Arabidopsis thaliana: one gene and its partners. The protein of the gene in region 2 interacts with the protein of the main gene of each other region in a biochemical or structural test. Each region holds a gene or a part of one and is shown on either strand. Other genes may lie near its edges. The genes, in order: SEU, AP1 and VIT1.

Region 1 (7,510 bases), 9.4 Mb from region 2:
ACCTGCTGAGACTGAGACTAAGGATTTGACCGATCCCGTCGTTGAACTTAGCAAGAAACTGCAGAAGCAAGAGATAAGTACTACAGATAACATAAAGCAAGAAGGTGGAGAAGAAAAGAAGGGGACCAAGTGCAGCACTTGCAACACGTTCGTTGGAGAGGCTAAGCAATACAGAGAGCACTGTAAGAGTGATTGGCACAAACACAACCTTAAGCGTAAGACTCGGAAACTCCCTCCTATTAGTGCTGACGAATGCATGTCTGAGATTGACATGGACGACTCTAGAGCAGATTTGAAAGACTACTCTTTCTGAAACTACAATTTTCTCCTTTTGTGCTTTTAATTTTGTCAATGTGTTAAATCTCGTAGTCATATGTGAGTATGAATACACAAAACTTGTGGAATGAAATTTTGCGCAAACTTTAAGAGTAAAAACTTGTGTTTAAGAGACAAGCTTGGATATTTGGTATTTGATTAATAACTGTGACCAAACAATAGACATCGTACGGCTTGTGGTATTTCATTGCACTAACAACAAAAAATCATGACCGATCAGCATCGTTCAAGAGCATTGCACATATTTAACGTTGTGGTCAGAATTTAGGGAAGTTTGGTTAACACATGGAAGAGACCAGAGAGATAAATGAAGGATAGAGCTTGATTCATTGCCTCCCTGATGATGTGCCCTAAGGAACACACACCGATAGAAAGATGTACATTATAAACTATAAAGCATAAGAAAAACTCCCCAAAGTAAAAAAAGAAACAGTAACTCAAGAGATGGTATTGGTGATTGTGGAGGTGACCTAGAAACCAGTTATTGATACAAAGATTTGACTCTTCCTTTCTTAAGCACAATATCACGGCTTATTGGCCTATCCTTATCCTGAGTTTGAAGATGTGTGATGCTGCGCAAGCAGAACATTACCCTTTCAGTGTCTCTTCTTCCTCTTCTTCATTTCACGCGTTCCAATCAAAATTGTTGAAACCATTCACTGCTCCTAAAAGTTGGTTTCCTAAATCCTGTTGACCGTTTGGATCCCGCACCATCATCCCAACTCTTCCGTTCATGAGACTATTGTTACCGTTTATATTATTGATTCCGTTTGCTGCCATGGATTGACCAATCCCACCACCAAACCCACCAGCACCTCCAATATTTGTGTTGTTGTTGTTGTTCACTTGGCCATTCATCAGTAAAACACCAGAACTATTTACATTAGCTTGACCCTTCCCATCATTCCCGAAAGACCCATGCCCAACCATGCTTCCTCCTGAGCTATTATTATGAGCTTGGTTGTTCATCAGGATTTCATTCAGTATCTTCTGCACCGAGCTAGACTCGTTTCCATCAACCTCACCTGCCTGTTGCATTGCTGGTGAGTTTGTGGAACCCATGTGATTAACAGATGGTATCCCGTTTTGAGAGGGATTATTGTTATTAGATGAGGATGTTGGAGACTGAAATGTTGGCAGGTTGTGTTGTTGCTGCGATGATGATGGCACCATGGTACCCGAGGAACTAGGTGATTGCATCTGAACAGAGTTTCCTCCATAGGGGCTGTTTGGAGGATTGTAAGCAGCATTCTGATGTCTTCCCTTCATTGAATTCTGGTGGATGAGCCCTGCGATGCTGCTGGTGGAAGTGGATGCAGAGGCTGCATTAAAGGCATAATTTACACCATTGCTTGGATTACCCTGCATTAGTGCAACTTGCCTACTACTTTGATCACTGTTTGTATTCTGGGAAACTGTTTGCTGCTGCTGCTGTTGTTGTTGTTGTTGTTGTTGCTGTTGCTGCTGCTGCTGTTGTTGTTGCTGCTGCTGCCTAAGCTGGTCGCTGGCTTGCTGAGGAGAAGGACCAGGCAGTGCAGATGAAGGGCCTGTTCTCCGAGGAAACTTGGCTAAACTCTCTGTACCAAAGAAAGAAAACATGACATCAGTCAAATCACCGGAGAATATGTACAATGAAGTTCTGATATAATACATGAACGAAAAGAGTAGGTGCTTCAAGATTAAAAATACCAAATGCATTAAAAGGTGGTCACATAAACTTACCGATTGGTCCTGTTCGTGTTTCTCTGCTATAATCTATCAGGTCCTTCATACTATTTACCACCTCTGAGATCTACAATATTGCAAAATATCAATGTGCATTGGCAAACATGGTCACAGGGACAGACTAAATACAAAGATTGATTAAGTTTATTTCATTTTTATGTATTATCCTTTTCAAAGCTGCATTTTCATTGATGGCAAGAATCTTAAGTTTTAAGCAAGATTGTAGAGTTCACTTGATCCATATTGAGACATTAGTTATTTACCTGCAAACACCGAACATATCTCTTTGTGTATCCCAAATCATTCACAAGTGGTACTTCCAGGGCCTTTGCCAATTGTCTAGCAGATGCAACAAACCTGCAGACCAGTTGCAGCACATCAGAGATCACCAATCAAAAGTCGAATAACAGGATTTGTTACATCAATTTCACAGCGAAAGAGAGGAAGTTTACATATTGCAATTATTTTGTAGCTCCGGAAGAGCAGAATCTGTTGTTGCATTTTGAGCAGCTTGTTGATATTTCTGAGCTGCCGATCCAAGCTGACTAACCTGTATGTGAATACAAAAATAGCTAATTTACCTAAGCTGTTTTCACTGATTTAGATGTGTAATATTCTACTCCTATTGAAATTTGGAAACCACAAAAGATGAAAGGTAAAGTGACGATTTCGCAAAGAAAAGCAGACTAGAATAATATTAAGACAGCATATCCAATTTTGTGACAAAAGGAAAGGCCGCATCTCCAAAATAACTATATGTCAGAGCAATATGGTGAATCTTTCTGGAAGTTACCTGCGGTATCAAAAGTCTTCGTGGAATAAGCTCTTCATGCCGCCGAGCACAAAATTCCCAGGAGAATATCTGAGAAGGAACTTACAAGAATAAAGGGCTTGGAGAGAAAGTAATAGTATAATAATTTGCTGCGAAAGATAGAGTAGCTTGAAGAACCTTAAGATCTGGCGAGAAGACTATTCGAAGTTGGCCATCACGAACAACCCGAAGATGCTCAAAGACACTCTCTTGTGTTGCTTTTGCATACTCCAGGACAATTTGGCCAGATGAATTCTGGGACTCCCTTGGCATATCTACATATAACAGTTCTTCTAACGTCCCACTCTCATACTTAATCTTAAACAGCCGCGGAAGGACTTCGGCGGTTGCCTCTAAACAATGAAAGAGACAAAGCAGTAAGGAAGGAATATTTGATAAGATGTACAGGAAATTGTCTGCACTGATCATCTAAATAACATACCAAAACCACGTCCAGGCTTTCGGTTACATATCTCACAGTGCCACACATCCTGCAATGTTTGTGGAATAAAAATACTCATGTAAAGAGGTATAACATGAAACAAGTACGTAATTTATCCAGAATAACTGGCTCAGGTGCAAAAGACAAGCTCCTTTACAATTGTATTACAAACAAGATAAGTTCATTGAGCAGTAAACCAACCTGAGGGAAAACGCCTGTTGTTTGCCTGCCACTGCCATACATAGAGACGCACCATCTCTTTTTGGCATTAGGAGCAAAGTACTCAGCTACAAATTTTCTCCAGAACTCGATATTATTGTCCTGCATTTAATAGCAAGCACAAATGTCAATTATGAAGAAAAGCCATAGGCTGAAAGAAGTTAAATTTATGGTAAGAAGCTTTACTTCAGGCCTATGTTGTTGTCTGTACATATACTGTGTAAGACGCTGAGCACCCATGCCAGGTTCATACACTGGTTTCAGAGGTGGCCTTAGAGGTAAATTCTGCTGTTGGAACTGCTGTGGTAATTGAGGACGCTGTTGAGGCATAGATTTCAAGAGTTGCTGTTGTTGAAGTTGCATAAGTCTCTGCTGCTGAAATATGTTCATTTGAGCCTGCGGAGATTGCCCCGGCATTTGAAGAAATTGTTGTTGTTGTTGTTGCTGTTGTTGCCTCTGCTGTTGTTGGAGAAACAATGACTGCTCAGAATGTTGAGGTTCCATTTTCACTTGGGCCAAATTTCTCATGGCCTGAATTTGCTGCGGTTCCAACTTAACTGACCCTAGGTTTCTCAACATTTTCTGTTGCTGCTGTTGTACTTGACCATGCTGCTGATCATTCGAAACCTGACCAGGCTCCATCTTAACAGGTCCCACACCTGCTAATCCACCACCACGCACTGTCGAAAACTGCTGCTGCATTGACTGCTGCTGACCATGTTGAAAACTCTGCGTCTCCATTTTCTTATTCCGTTGTTGCTCAGCCAACAACTGGTTAGCCGAAACATTCGAAAACTGCTGACCCTGAACTTGACCTGATGAGCGCGGAGACACCATACTCGACGCATTAAAAGACGACAAACCACTAAACCCGACGTTAGACATCGGGTCAGACTCAGCACCACTTGTATCCATAGAAATCATAGAACCAGGGATACCATTTACAAAAGACTGATTATTGAGAAGAGAAGATATATTTGGAGCATTCCCAAGCATACTCATACTCATATTGTTACCAAACTGAGTACGCGGAGAGACAAGTGAAGGAAATGCTGGTTGAGAAGGAAGAGGAGCTCCTCCTTGTCCTCCTAATATCGAAGGCGGAACATTTTCACCACCCCCAACAGGATTAGGCGGCTCTGATGGTACCATACTCTTACTAATTCACAACTCCACAATCAACAAAGAAAGCAAGAAACAAAACTGACGACTTTATAAAACTCAGCTCTGTGTAGGAGCAAAGACGTATTCTTTCTGAGCAATGATAAGCTTCAGAGTCGTAAACACCACGGAAAGAGATGAATCTGAGTGATGAGATTCCGTATCGAACATTCTAGAACCAAACAACACTGTCTGTTGATTACTTACAGATCTAAATTAAGCAAATCTACTCCATTTCCAACTCTCACCACCTTAACAAAACAAAAGCATAATGTTAAGAACAAACCCAGAAAGAAAAAAACGAAACTTTGATCAAACCCTAATTGAGAAAAAAAACAGAGATTACTAGTGAGAATCTATAGAAACTTACCCAGAGGTGGAATTGAAGAATAAGTCTCTGATAAGACTCAAAACAAAGAGAATCGAACAAAAAGGAAGAGACTTTACACAACTAAAAATCTGAAAACTTCCGATGAACAAAATCTTGAAGAAATTTGAAGTCTTTTAGGGTTTTTTATTGATGGGTTTGGGGATAAAGAGACGAGAAGACAAAGAGAAACAAAAAGAAGTAGAAACAAATTTTCTCTGCCGCCTAGAAATTGTAGTTTCTGGGTTTTATTAAAAATTATACCTTTTTAAGCTTCACAGAGTAATTTGTGTCCTGTTCTTCGCTGTAGAGAGAGAGAGAGAAGAGAGAAAGAAGAAGATGAGAAGAGAGAGAATAGTGTCCTTGCGGACGTCAAAATTGTATTCGATCGGATTTATTTCATTCCCTTTCTTACTTTTTCTTTTTCAGTCTCTCTCTCTCTTCTTCTTCTTCTTCAAAGGAAGTCAATGACATGCCCTAGAAATGTTTTTTTTTTGTAATCACAATCTGGATTTTTTTTTTTTGTTAGCCACAAACATTTTTCTCTTTATTTTATTGGTTTTAGTGTTAAATTGTTATTTTTCCATTCAGAATACTATCACTTTTAAATACCTTAAGAAAAGTTTGATTTAGAAAGATATCAAAAGTTTAATATACACATCAATAGTGTTTTTTCTTAGAATGTAAAGTTTGGTTTAAAAGAACATAATGGAAATGACACTATTTTTATTTGTTTTTAGTTCTAAATTTGATATAGAAATTTTTCTTTCTTTTTTTGGTTTTAGTTTTAAATTTGATATAGAAATATATCAATATTTAATATATTACTACATTAATAGTGGTTTTTCTGTTTAAAGTTTATTTAAATGTGTAAATTTGGTTTGAGAGAGAGAATGGAAAACAAGACTATTTTTAAGAAAAAATATAATTATGGAACGACAACATAAAATTAATTTGAAAGCGGATTTATGTATGAGATTAAACAACTCGAGTTTGATCTTCATCCCTTGCTTAGATGATTTTTTTTTCCCATTCCCCTTATATATTCTTTTTCGTCTCAACTTTCTATCTTTTTTCTTTTGTTCAAGTTTTCTTAATTATTTTTGTCTACGCTTTTTAGATAATAAAAACTGCTTCTTATTTTCTTTATTTTATTGTCTACATGGTTTCATTACATAGAAGCTGAACTATAATAATCATGATGGTATTTTAAAGTTATAAAGCAAAGAAAATAAATATTATATACAAATGAAACTCCACAAGGAATTCTCACGGTTTAGAGTATTTGCATATTCATTTGTTTAATAAACCGTTTTCTATTAATATTAGAAAATATATAAAAAAAATAATTCAGTTTTTTAGTCTGATGTGTTGCAGATCATTTTCTAACATAAATATATTTAAAAGAAAAAATCAGACATGAGAGCATATATATGAACCATTGCTGAATATAAATCTTAAATACCTCATTTTTTCTGAACCTAATAATGCATGTAACCAATTTTAAGTCAAAAGCATTTTTTTGTGTGTTAAAATGTTAAATTTATTAGTCAACAAAAAGAAAAAATATGTATAAAGAGTTGAGAGAGTGCTTCACCCGGTTTAACAACACCACAAACCAAATAGCTTTTATATTGATTTAAATTACAATCACTAATGGTTAAAAAAACAGACTCATATATAGCCAAAGATATTGGTATTGCAAGAACTTCTCCTGCCATTGGAAACATGGTTGAATATTTTGATCTATTTATTTTTACTACCTTAAAACATGGTTGAGTATATCTGACTCGTCTTTTTGATATGTTTCCAACTCATTTACAGAAAGAAGATTGTAGACTTAAACTGGTCTATCAAACACTATACTCAAATTATCTCTACAAAATATTTATCAGCAAATTATTATTTCTCACACTTTAGATTACCTTATCCACGTATAAGTTTAAAGCTAAACAATGCAAATATCATTATATGAAAATGATCAAATATTTTAGCCACTATCAATATTTTATTGGCTTTTTCTATATCTTCTCAATATCTATCAAATTTGGATGTCATTGCATAAATCATATCTCTCAAATCTTACGTTAAACCCTAAATACCATACTTGATTGTTGTATATCTCATTGTAGTAACTATTTGATGTTACTTTATAGAAGAAGAGAATGTTAACATATGATTTAAAGGTTTTTTACTATATGACGCGGTATGTTCTAATCAATTGTTATTGAAGGTGACTTGTTTGATTAGAATAACTTTTTAAAAAATCTGTCGTCTTACAATTTATATCCATATATCATGTCAAATGCAAATTAATAATTCCACTTATTATCACAATCTAATACAATAATTCCTCTTGTGATTTTCACCCAACACTTAGATATTTCCAATCTTAAACTAGAAAATCTCACATATTCTTACAGTATTACGAACACTTATGATACTATTA
Region 2 (6,481 bases):
ACATGAAGACCAAACAATATAATTACCAAAATGTTTAATACAGAAATTGTTTTCTAAAAAAATTAGCAGGAATACAACGAAGAGAAGATAATGTGAGAGTTACGCTTACCACAACGTGCCTTTTCTTGAGTTTAGCAACATTTTACTGAATGTAGATGAAGAGAAGATAATGTGAGAGTTACGCTTACCACAACGTGCCTTTCTGGTGGTGATATATCTTAAGAACCTTAGTGGGCATTTTCACTGGTCCCTTTACTGTAAGTCTCGTGTCCTTAGCTCCATGAAACAAGTCAATACACACTAATTATTCGATCACTAATCAAACAAATGTATCAGAGAGACTACCAGGGTGTTACATTACAGATCCTCATCCATTCGGAGGCACTGTTATTATTGCCTATCTTATCTAATTAGAAGCAAATTCTGGGCCTTTATAGGCCAACATCCTTCCTTGATTCTAATTGGGTTCTATTCCGATTAATACGGCCCAACCACTCAAGTTCGCTTGTTGTAAACTTGAAATAATAAGAAATTTTGCCACTCCTAACTTAATGCAACAAAAAAAAAAAAAGGTCCGATCTATTAAGTTCACGTTCATTCTCTCTGACCTTCAAATATATTACAATTTTGCTCCATATTGAAGCAAATAAACTTATCAAATTACAAAAGAAGAAAGGAGCCTGCTAATTTATATATGATGATATAAGAACATCGAACATTTGCCAAAATATATTAATTGGATGAAAAGAGCCTAGCCACTATTTATATGTATGTGGCAAACTGTTTTTATTGTTGACGATTACAAATATATATATGGAAATGCTTCATGCGGCGAAGCAGCCAAGGTTGCAGTTGTAAACGGGTTCAAGAGTCAGTTCGAGATCATTCCTCCTCATTGCCATAGGATCATCTTCTTGATACAGACCACTGCATTCACAATCATACATAGGATATATATGAAAGTGCATATGTAATCATATGTTTCACCGTACAACAAAGGAAAATCAAATATCAGTCCATTGTGAAATGTCAAAGATATATTAATTTCATTTATCTAACAAACTAAAATTGTACTTAAACACATAGACCAACAACAACAAAAAGTCGACTTAGGCTTTTCGCAACCATTCCATGTACATTTTCCACACTAATAAGTTTGTTCGTTTGGCGACCATTGCATTAACCTACGTTAATAAAATAATGTTTTAAAATAAAGTTTTCTAGTTTCAAAATCATGACATCATGTAACCATCACTAACAGCTATAACTTCAATGAAATTACAACACCTAACGTAACTAGCTTGCATAACATATGTGCTTTAAATTAAGACTGATTAGTAATTTTTTGTTACCCCATGTTGAGAAAAGGAGATGGCTGATGAGAGAGCATGTAAGGATGCTGGATTTGGTGCTGCTGCGGTGGCAGAGGGGGAGGCATATTGTGGCCTTGGTTCTGCTGATCCCACTGCTCCTGTTGAGCCCTAAGAATTTTTTCCCTCTCCTTGATCTGCCAGCAAATTTATTTCAAACCATATTATCATCATCAATTTTCAAAGTGAAGAAACTATATATATGCAATGGTTACAAATAGTTATTTTCACAGTTGCACTCATGCAATGAACTATTATAACATTTTTATAATTAGGAGTAGTGTCTATATTCATATACATAGATATGAGCTAAGTAGAATGATGGGACAACATTTCAAAGTTTCAAATATTTTCAATCCGAGAGACAACCTTAAAACTAAACGGACAAACCATATCTACGTACAGGCTGGTGATTATATCAATCAATAGACAACATCTATGCTATTTCAAACAATTTGCAAAGATTTTCTATTTTTATTTAATGGTGCCGAAGTTAAGTGGAGATATGAAGATATCGTAGGTATAGCTTGGCTGGAAGTGTGGAGCAGAACAGTGGAAGGTAACAGTAATGCAATGGACAACATGTTGATGAAAGAGAAATGATGACATGTGTTACCTGTTTAGAAAGCATGCTGTTTTGCTCCTGTATGGCCTTCTCCTGTCATTTCCGAAACGGCACGATTGTTAATTAGCTTTCCTATACGTTTCTCTATAAGACATACATTTGATAGGGGTTTTACATACCTTTTTTTGGAGCTCATTGATGGACTCGTACATAAGTTGGTTCTGCATACACACACATCAACATTAACAACCCATTACTTTAAGTAATATGAGTCTTAAAATACACAACATAACTCATACATTCGAACCAACCTATAGACATATCAAATTGATATTGATTACTGATATATATATTGATACATACACATATGTATTTCAATGTTCACATTATAATAACACTTGTAAACGTTTAAGTTATATAGATATGTTCAACGAAATAGCAGAAGGCAATACTTTTCTAGTGCGGATGTGCTTAAGAGCAGTGTCAAGCTGCTGCTCCAGATTCTGAAGCTCTTTAGGGCTCATTGCTTGCAAGTCTTCCCCAAGATAATGCCTGAATTTCAATAGCATCAATGAATTTTAACTTACTTTAAAATGGAACCCGATCGATTTCCTAGATAGAAATGTGATGAGTGTAAATGTGTACCTCTGGTTTCTCTCCAAAAGCTCAATCTTAGCCTTAAGCCTGTTATACTCCATCGACCAGTTTGTCTGTGTACCAGAAGTTTTATACAAATAAAATTCATCAATACTACAAATAGATTGATATAATATATATGTGGATTAAAAGGAGAAATATTTATTGAAATACATTGACGTCGGACTCAGGTGCAATAAGCTGTCTTTCGGCGTAAGAGTACCTCTCATAGCGTTCAAGTATCTTCTCCATACTGATCATTTCACAGAATTAGGGTTAGCTTTATCATCAACCAATTATCATTTTATTATATAAATAATATGGAGATGTAACCAAAATATCATCACATTTTAGGATAAATCTAATGATGGTTTTATGCAATTAAACCAAGATTTCCTATAACAAATCAAGTACCGATCTCTATGATACCTTTATAATAACAAAACAGTATGAATCATAGACCCTATGCTCTTAGCTTCGAGTTCTAACTGCGGTTTCTTTAATTTTGCTACAATTAGGTACAGAAAATCTTCTTAGATGCGACACATTATAATAAATTATTATAATCTTGCCAATTTACCAATCTTATTTTTTTTCAGAACAAGGACAATGCTTAAAAAAAAAAAGAAAAAAAAAAAAAGAAGAACAGCTGTTGCTTGTTGGAGCTAAGTTTGACCATCGGTAAGAAGCCGATTTTAGGATGGAGTTAATTCTTTTTATGGATCCCCAGAGGTCAAAGACTCCCTACTCAGATTTGACATCTTTGTTTCAGTTTTAATTTCTAAAGTCAAATAGAAAAAGAAGCAACACTAGTTCAAATTTAATACTATATAGTGTTTTATATTACGAGTTCATAATCTTAAGATCCGAGTTTAAACATTTTCTTTGCTTAGATTTGCAAAACATGAAGACACAGTCGTGAGAACAAATTAGATATTCTTTTACAGCTGAAAAAAAACAACTCGTAAGTTAAATATTCTTTCTAATAAAAAATTCTCAATTTGACATTATTATCTATATCTATTTTAATTTATTTTCTCGTCCCATAATATTTTTTAATTATAATCCAGTTGCAACTTATATATGAAAAAAGAAACGACACTTCATTTAAAACTCGAACTCAGTGAGCGAGTGAAAACTACAGATCTTATTTTCTTACTATGGCATCAATTAGAGCTTAGATCTGCAAATTCGAAAGACATGGCTATTGGAGAACAAAAGAATTCATTATGAGTTAGGGATCAAAACCCTAGTTCAAAGATTAAACATACACCCTTCTATATGCTCTTGAGTTTGAAGATATGATGCTGATAAATATTGCACAATATATCAAGGTAATTACTATGGTATAATTAGTGTGTTCTAGGGTTCACTTCACTACGGCCCTAAAGTTTTGATTTTTAAATTATACAAATTTGTATTAAACATTTTTCTGGCTAATCAAAAAATCCAAAAATGGAAGCCCTAGAAAATATATAAACAAAAGCAGTAGTGAATAATTAGGGCAAATCAAGTAGTCAACTTAAGGGGGAAAAAACTATATAAAGTAGCAGATTAAAAGATTTTTTTAAAAGTAAAGAATTAGTTGAAGTTACCAAGAATCAGTGGAGTATTCGAAGAGTTTTCCCTTATGGGAGAAGACAACAAGAGCAACTTCAGCATCACAGAGAACAGAGATCTCATGAGCTTTCTTCAAAAGACCAGCTCTTCTTTTCGAGAATGTCACTTGTCTATTGATCTTGTTCTCTATCCTCTTCAATTGAACCCTACCCCTTCCCATTTTTGATCCTTTTTTAAGAAACTTCTTACTCTAAAAGAACCAAACAAAACAAAGACCCCCAATAAGAAACTACAAGAGAGATATAAAGAAGAGCTCAGACTTTGGTATGAACCAATTAGGAAAGTTTTTCTTTCTTTCCTTTATAAAAAGACTTGTGTTTGAGTCTCGGGATCTTTATTTATGGAGAGATTTGGGTAAGAGTGGTTTTAGGGAAAAGCTAAAGCTGGTTTCTCTTGTTTGCAAAAACCACAGTGGTTTCTTTAGGATTTGCGTGTCGACTTCTCATTGGTATATCTCGTACTAATGTCGGGTCCATGATTTTTTAATAAAACTGCGGACTTAAAAATATGAAAATAAACAATTTGATTATCGACGTCTCGTGAAGAGAAATGGGTAAGTAACATTGTACGGACCACTGGTCCTTCCCCAAGTGTCACCTTCGCTTTGCATTGACGGCGGAGATTTCCCTGTAGATCTACGAAACAAAATCTGAACCAACCAAAATATCTATTTTTAATTTCCTTTTATTAACATTTCTCTATTACCCTATTTTACACTATTCTTTTGGAATAAGGTGAGAACCCTTTGTTTTATCAAATTTGCTTATTATATTTAATGTTCTCAGCTGTAACAGTGAAGTACAAATAGACCTTTCTTTTGGCAATAGATGTTTTTGGTAGAGCTGAGAACCAATTGACAACTGTGTAATGTATTGCGTCGACGGATTTGTACGCAGGATTTAAGGAAAGAGAGGAAGATCGAGAAGAATAATTGTAAGTATTCAAAATTTCAAACCCAAAAATAGTATTTTGTCAAAGATTTGTTCAATGTTGTGTGTTCTTATTAAGTTGTAGATGATCAGGACAAAAATCAGTTGAATATGTGCTATGTTGTTAATCAAACATACATATATTTTTTTTCGTCAATCAAACATATTTAGTTTGTACGTTATATCCATATATATTGTTAAATAAAACAACCATATATATACAATTTGATGTCAATCATATAATGAAATAAACCACATAAAAACCTTTGCTCAATTTGCTTAATCACTTCTTTTACAATGAATTTCCGTTGTAATAGTTTTCTCTTTTGAGATCTTCAAGTGTGAAAAAACCCCTTATTTTCAGTCAATATCCAATAACAAAAAAAAAAAAAACAGATTCGGCATTTGCTTAAGGCATATATTGCATAAGCCTTAGAGAAAACAATATAATTAAGTGAAAGTTGGACCACGTTTCAAATTTCTTTGTTAGTCAAGTGTTCCTGTTTTAGTTGATTACTTTAAATATCTCAGGTTTGAGGACTAATTGATTTTTCTTGTTAAAAAATTTCTTTCTGTTTTTTCCATTTCTTCTCTTATTTGGTGTTTTCCACGTGTCTTCTTCCTTATTTGATTTACTTTGTAATTTATAAATATTTGGACATCTTTTAGCAACTATTGCTTACGGTATTATTGTTTCATCAAAACAACAATTATACTAATTTTAGAAAAATAAATTAGACCATGTAAAAAGAAAAAATTGTAATATAGTAAAATCTATTTAAGTTAAAGTTCATTTTTAGTTATATATTTCTTCTATGCCAAATGAACCTATGCTAAAAAGATGTCACTTGCATTTTAATCCAACTTTATGTATTTTCTTCATAGAAGTTATATTAAATCTGGTATGGTATGACATATATACTTGAAATGGTCGTGGTTATATAACCAAATTTAAACATGTACGTCCTGAGTTTTGAAACGATACATAAGTTAAAAGATAGTGTATAGAGAAATCAGTCTAAAGATAGTATACTATATATATGTATGATATGTATATGGAGATCATGAGCAAAAGTAGTAAGCAACAAAAGGAAAAGTAGAAACTTAACAAATTGAGCAAAACTAAAAGAATCTAAGCTCGTGGCCTTGAAGACAACATCCCAAGAATATCCATTATCTTCGCCTTTGTTACATCTCCACCCTTCTTTTCTTCCCATTAAATATCCCTTTTTACTCTCTTTCAGTTTATTATTCGATGTAGCATACATATTTTATATACAATATCTCGATCCACTAAGATACGGTTACATCTCCACCATTAGCTTCCAAATACTAAAATAATTAATTACTTCTAATTAGAA
Region 3 (4,351 bases), on a different chromosome or scaffold from region 2:
GTTCCGATTGTATTTGAAGAGATTAAGCGGTGAAGCTTCGCAGAGTAATGACTCTGAGTCTACCAAAAGATATGAAAACATTCAAGCTCTGGTTTCCTCAGGACAATTACATCCACAGACATTAGCTGCATTGTTTGGTCAACCAATAGACAATCATCACTCTGCTAGTTTTGGAGTTTGGATTCCTAATGACAATCTTGGTAGATCTCAAAATGAACACTTCTCGGTTGATGTATCATCCGCTTCTAACCGTCCTGTTTCTGTGGCGGTTCATGGTCTATCTTCCTCAGCAAATTTCAGACAGAGAGGTGACGTTAACAACAACAGAATCAGACAAGGGTATGGATCAAATGTCAATGAAGAATCTTGGATCTTGGAAAGATCTTCAAGACAAAGATAGTGACCAATATGGATACGCTTAAGAAGAGAAGGCTCTGCAACTGTTTCTTTTAAATCTTCAGGAATGGATTAATGTCAGAAGAAAACTTGTGTGTCTGCAATGTTAGCTTAGGAAAGTAATTATGTAACCAATATTTTGAATTGTTATCTCTCACTTTATTATGGTTGCCAAAAGTTTTAGCCTGATAATAACCACAAGACATGCAACAAACAAGTCTCAAAGTACACAAAACATCAAACGCAACACTAGTTTTGTTACTGCTAATGTTGCACAACTTTAGCCAAACAAAAAGCAGCAGCTGAAGCAATCGCTCCTATAAAGGCGGTTTCAAACGCACTTCTGAGGGGCTTGCTTCCAGTGAAATGCCCTTTTGCATAGCCAAATATGAAGAGCGCAAACAGAGTTATAACCACAGACGCCACTACCGCATCCATGGCATGCGGTATGAGCATGTAGGGAAGTAACGGTATAAAACCGCCAAGAACATAAGCGATTGCAATCGTGAACGCGCTTTGTAACGCTCTTTTTGGATCAGGCTTCTCTAATCCCAGCTCAAACCTGTAACGAAACAATAAAGTCTCACTTATATAACAAGTTACATGCTTATAGTAGGAATATAAACATTTTGTGATAGGTAAAGAGTGTTAAACTTAACCAAATCAATAAGATAAGTTTTTATATTCACGTAATTTGTTGTTTTCTGTTTGTTACTATTCACGTACTTTATTTGTTGCAACAAAAAAGATTAAAATTGGAAGTCGGACCATATAAGAATCTTGCCCACACCTGGAAAGTATAAGCTCAGCTTTTGCAGAAATCTAAAAGTATCCCTCGATTTTCTCTTTAATTAAGACTATATAATATACATAAAATAATACTAATGGACTATATAGTATACATAAAATAACACTAATTTTCATTAGTGAGACTAACCTCATCATAAAATCAAGCCAAGCTTGAGGATTCTTACGAAGAGCATTAACTACAGGTGAATATTCATGTGGCTCTATCCCGTACTGTGCCAGAATCTCTGCCACTTCAGCTGCCTCTGTTTTAAATCCATATCGTAATTAAAATGTGTTAAACCGGATAATTTTCTTATATATGGATGGCTTAGATTGAGTGTAATTTGGTCTTACCAGTTTCAGGAACGGCCACGATCTCTTCTTGTTCTCGTTTCATCTCCCTCGCGTAATGATCTTCTTCGCTCTTTGCCGCTAAATACCTAAATTTGTTATCCAGTTTTTAATCTTGCATTGAACTCATATAGTTATAACTCACTACTTTTCTTACAATATGATTACTCAAGAGACTAACTAAATATGAATTTTTTTTTTATTACATATGGATGCATGCATTGTATATGATCATGGTAACATGGTTGCATGATCTAGGACTATTTTTGTTTTGGTAAATTAGTCTAGGACTAATTTAAACCCAACAAAATTATGTGGGACTTACGTGTAAATTTAAACAAATTAGTATTCCATTGAACAACTTTTATACCACAACTTTATCATACGTTATTTATGTTAATGTGTAGTAGTAATTACACCACAAGTAGGAAATGAATCATCATTTGCATGTAGCCATTATTTCAAAACTATATAGAGAGTTTACGTGTCAATTAAAACGGAACTAGTAAAAAGAGAAGTACCCGCCGAGTCCCATGGAGATAGCACCGGCCGCGACTTCGGCGATTCCAGCGGTAAGGACTATAGAAGAAGAAGCATTGGCACCGGAGAGACCGGCGGCGAGGGCAAAAGGAACGGTTAAACCATCAGAGACGCCGATGATGATGTCACGTACGATTTCTCCGGCGGTGAAGTGTTTCTCGGTGTGATGATCGAGAAGTGTTTGCTTCTCCGGTTCGATAGAGATTCTTGTAATCTTATCTTCCTCCGACGACATTGTTGATGATCGATTCTCTTTCTCTCTCGTTTTTTTTCTTTCTCAAAGTTGTGAAGTGTGTGTGTGGGAACATGATATATATATATATATATATATATATATATATATATATATATATATATACGTAAAGAACGAGGGGAAACATATCATCACATCATATTAGTTATTTTGTAATTTGGTTTCAAATTTACTTAAAAAATTTTCCTATGAGTTTCATTTAAGTATAATATATATCATATTATTTAATTATTGATTTGTTACCATTATTTATAAGAAAGCCATAAAAGAAAACACTAAGCAATATGCCCACAAGTAGTTTCCATGAGTTTGCAATTAAAGTGTGTCAAATCCCTTACATATTAATTCAAACACATATTTTAAAGGAAAACCTTTATACTGTAAGTAAAAGTATTTAATCTTATAAATATTATTCCAAGTTATTTTCTAATATAATGAAGAGAAAGTAAATTGTATATTAATCAATTTTTAAATACGCTTTATTAATCAATTTTTAATTACGCTAAATCTAAGAGCATCCACATACCTTATACGTATCATTTTTTTTCCGTGTTCATGTTGAATTGAGCATCAAATTAAGTATCTTTAGAGTATTGGTGCTGTTATGCGCAAATTTCCAATAATCAAATTACGGATGAACAATATCATTATACCTACTCTAATGTTATTTTTCGCTTTTAATTAAACCATGTCTTTTTTTTTCCAACATGGAACCATCTCATATGAGTTAATTTTAACCGCGAGAAGTCTTGTGAGTTGTGACCTCATCTGTAAAACTTTATTCACCGATTAAGATCCTATATATGCTTTCCACACAAGTTCTATAAGACAAGGAGAAATAGGTTTGAGTTTTGAACTTTTTGATCAGAACTTCAGATAAAATTGAGCGTGTTTGCCACATGCTTTGCCCACGGCATGAAGCTGGCCATATGTATGCATTTTCTACGTGGACACGATAAATTTTCTGAAAATATAAAAGAAAGTTATATGAGAAAGCAACAAATCTTATATGAGTCTGCAAAAGAATAACGCATGAGAAAAAAGCTAATTTACATGAAGCCATATGCAACGCTCCAATTCACACACTTTCATGTTTTTCATCTTTAACTTCTGTGACCATTTATCAGATTATTAGAAACATTCAAAGTCTCATTTGACACATAACATATAACGAGAATGTTATATCATCAGCAAATTCCCAATGTTCACACGGTTACAAAATAGTTACAGTTGGGTAAATGTCATCTTCATTTTCTATATAATTAAGTATTAGATTGATCCATTTAAAAACTTTAGTTTAGCTAATTAAAATACAAAACCAAAAATATAATTAAGAAACTAATCTGATGTTTTATAATTTGATATAAGTACTTCCAAAAACTATCAACTAATTTGGTTGTTGATGTTTTCATTCTTGGAATAAGATAAGGAATTTTTTAAGATTAAAGTAAAAAATATTATTACTTTTGATATGTAATTAAATTAAATGCGTTGGACACTTTTTGGATACATAATTGGTTTTTTTTTTTTTTTGAAAACACATTATTGGGTTTCTATTAGTTAGTTTTGGATAAATATTATTACTGGTGCCAAGAACCAATCCATCTCTCTACTGTCTGGTTCCATGTCAAGCGCTGTAAAATTCCGGGAGGGCTTAGGTTCAATCTTGTGAAGATGCTGTCGTTGTAAGCCGTGAAACTGACCTCTTGTATGTCAGCTATGTAAATTTTATCACTTAGAAAAGTTTTATCCATTAGACTCTGTTCTTTTTGGTCATCCAAGGGGCCTGGTGGTACTAGAAGATCTTCATACATTTTGGTGGTATTCAGAAAGAGGTTAATAGAAGAACCAGTCCCGTACAGTCGGCCCTCATAGTTAGAAACGAAAAGCTCAGGGAAGCTTGAGGCAACATATTCCTCTCCTCATCTTTTAGGTTCGAGGTTTAGCGTGTAACTCGATTTGGACGGATTATCAGGGGTTTCCCACGCCACCAAATATTGATTGACGCCCCAATGAAAATTC

What was found.
Region 1: the proteins of AP1 (region 2) and SEU form a complex in vitro, tested with the Arabidopsis thaliana proteins (one study listed by BioGRID).
Region 3: the proteins of AP1 (region 2) and VIT1 interact in a test that uses a peptide from one of them, tested with the Arabidopsis thaliana proteins (one study listed by BioGRID).

What each region holds. Positions count from the first base shown.
Region 1 is NC_003070.9:16,615,047-16,622,556, reverse strand, and holds SEU (SEUSS transcriptional co-regulator), read right to left. Parts: upstream 5,570-7,510; 5' UTR 5,065-5,569; intron 4,946-5,064; 5' UTR 4,686-4,945; coding exon 3,720-4,685; intron 3,636-3,719; coding exon 3,516-3,635; intron 3,364-3,515; coding exon 3,315-3,363; intron 3,226-3,314; coding exon 3,011-3,225; intron 2,924-3,010; coding exon 2,855-2,923; intron 2,612-2,854; coding exon 2,514-2,611; intron 2,419-2,513; coding exon 2,325-2,418; intron 2,129-2,324; coding exon 2,059-2,128; intron 1,914-2,058; coding exon 961-1,913; 3' UTR 508-960; downstream 1-507. Other genes in the region: AT1G43860 (sequence-specific DNA binding transcription factor), read left to right, coding at 1-313. UniProt on the Arabidopsis thaliana protein: DNA-binding adapter subunit of the SEU-LUG transcriptional corepressor of the C class floral homeotic gene AGAMOUS during the early stages of floral meristem development.
Region 2 is NC_003070.9:25,981,752-25,988,232, forward strand, and holds AP1 (K-box region and MADS-box transcription factor family protein), read right to left. Parts: upstream 4,599-6,481; 5' UTR 4,352-4,598; coding exon 4,167-4,351; intron 3,187-4,166; exon of another isoform or gene 3,001-3,186; intron 2,825-3,000; coding exon 2,746-2,824; intron 2,646-2,745; coding exon 2,581-2,645; intron 2,488-2,580; coding exon 2,388-2,487; intron 2,157-2,387; coding exon 2,115-2,156; intron 2,029-2,114; coding exon 1,987-2,028; intron 1,508-1,986; coding exon 1,353-1,507; intron 1,185-1,352; coding exon of another isoform or gene 1,148-1,184; exon of another isoform or gene 928-1,147; coding exon 825-927; 3' UTR 543-824; downstream 1-542. UniProt on the Arabidopsis thaliana protein: Transcription factor that promotes early floral meristem identity in synergy with LEAFY. Is required subsequently for the transition of an inflorescence meristem into a floral meristem. Is indispensable for normal development of sepals and petals in flowers.
Region 3 is NC_003071.7:334,115-338,465, forward strand, and holds VIT1 (vacuolar iron transporter 1), read right to left. Parts: upstream 2,349-4,351; 5' UTR 2,312-2,348; coding exon 2,058-2,311; intron 1,626-2,057; coding exon 1,540-1,625; intron 1,449-1,539; coding exon 1,334-1,448; intron 959-1,333; coding exon 661-958; 3' UTR 549-660; downstream 1-548. Other genes in the region: RR14 (response regulator 14), read left to right, coding at 1-400; AT2G01780 (Curculin-like (mannose-binding) lectin family protein), read right to left, coding at 3,910-4,115, 4,179-4,250, 4,284-4,351. UniProt on the Arabidopsis thaliana protein: Vacuolar iron transporter involved in the transfer of iron ions from the cytosol to the vacuole for intracellular iron storage. Involved in regulation of cellular iron homeostasis. Vacuolar iron storage is required for seed embryo and seedling development.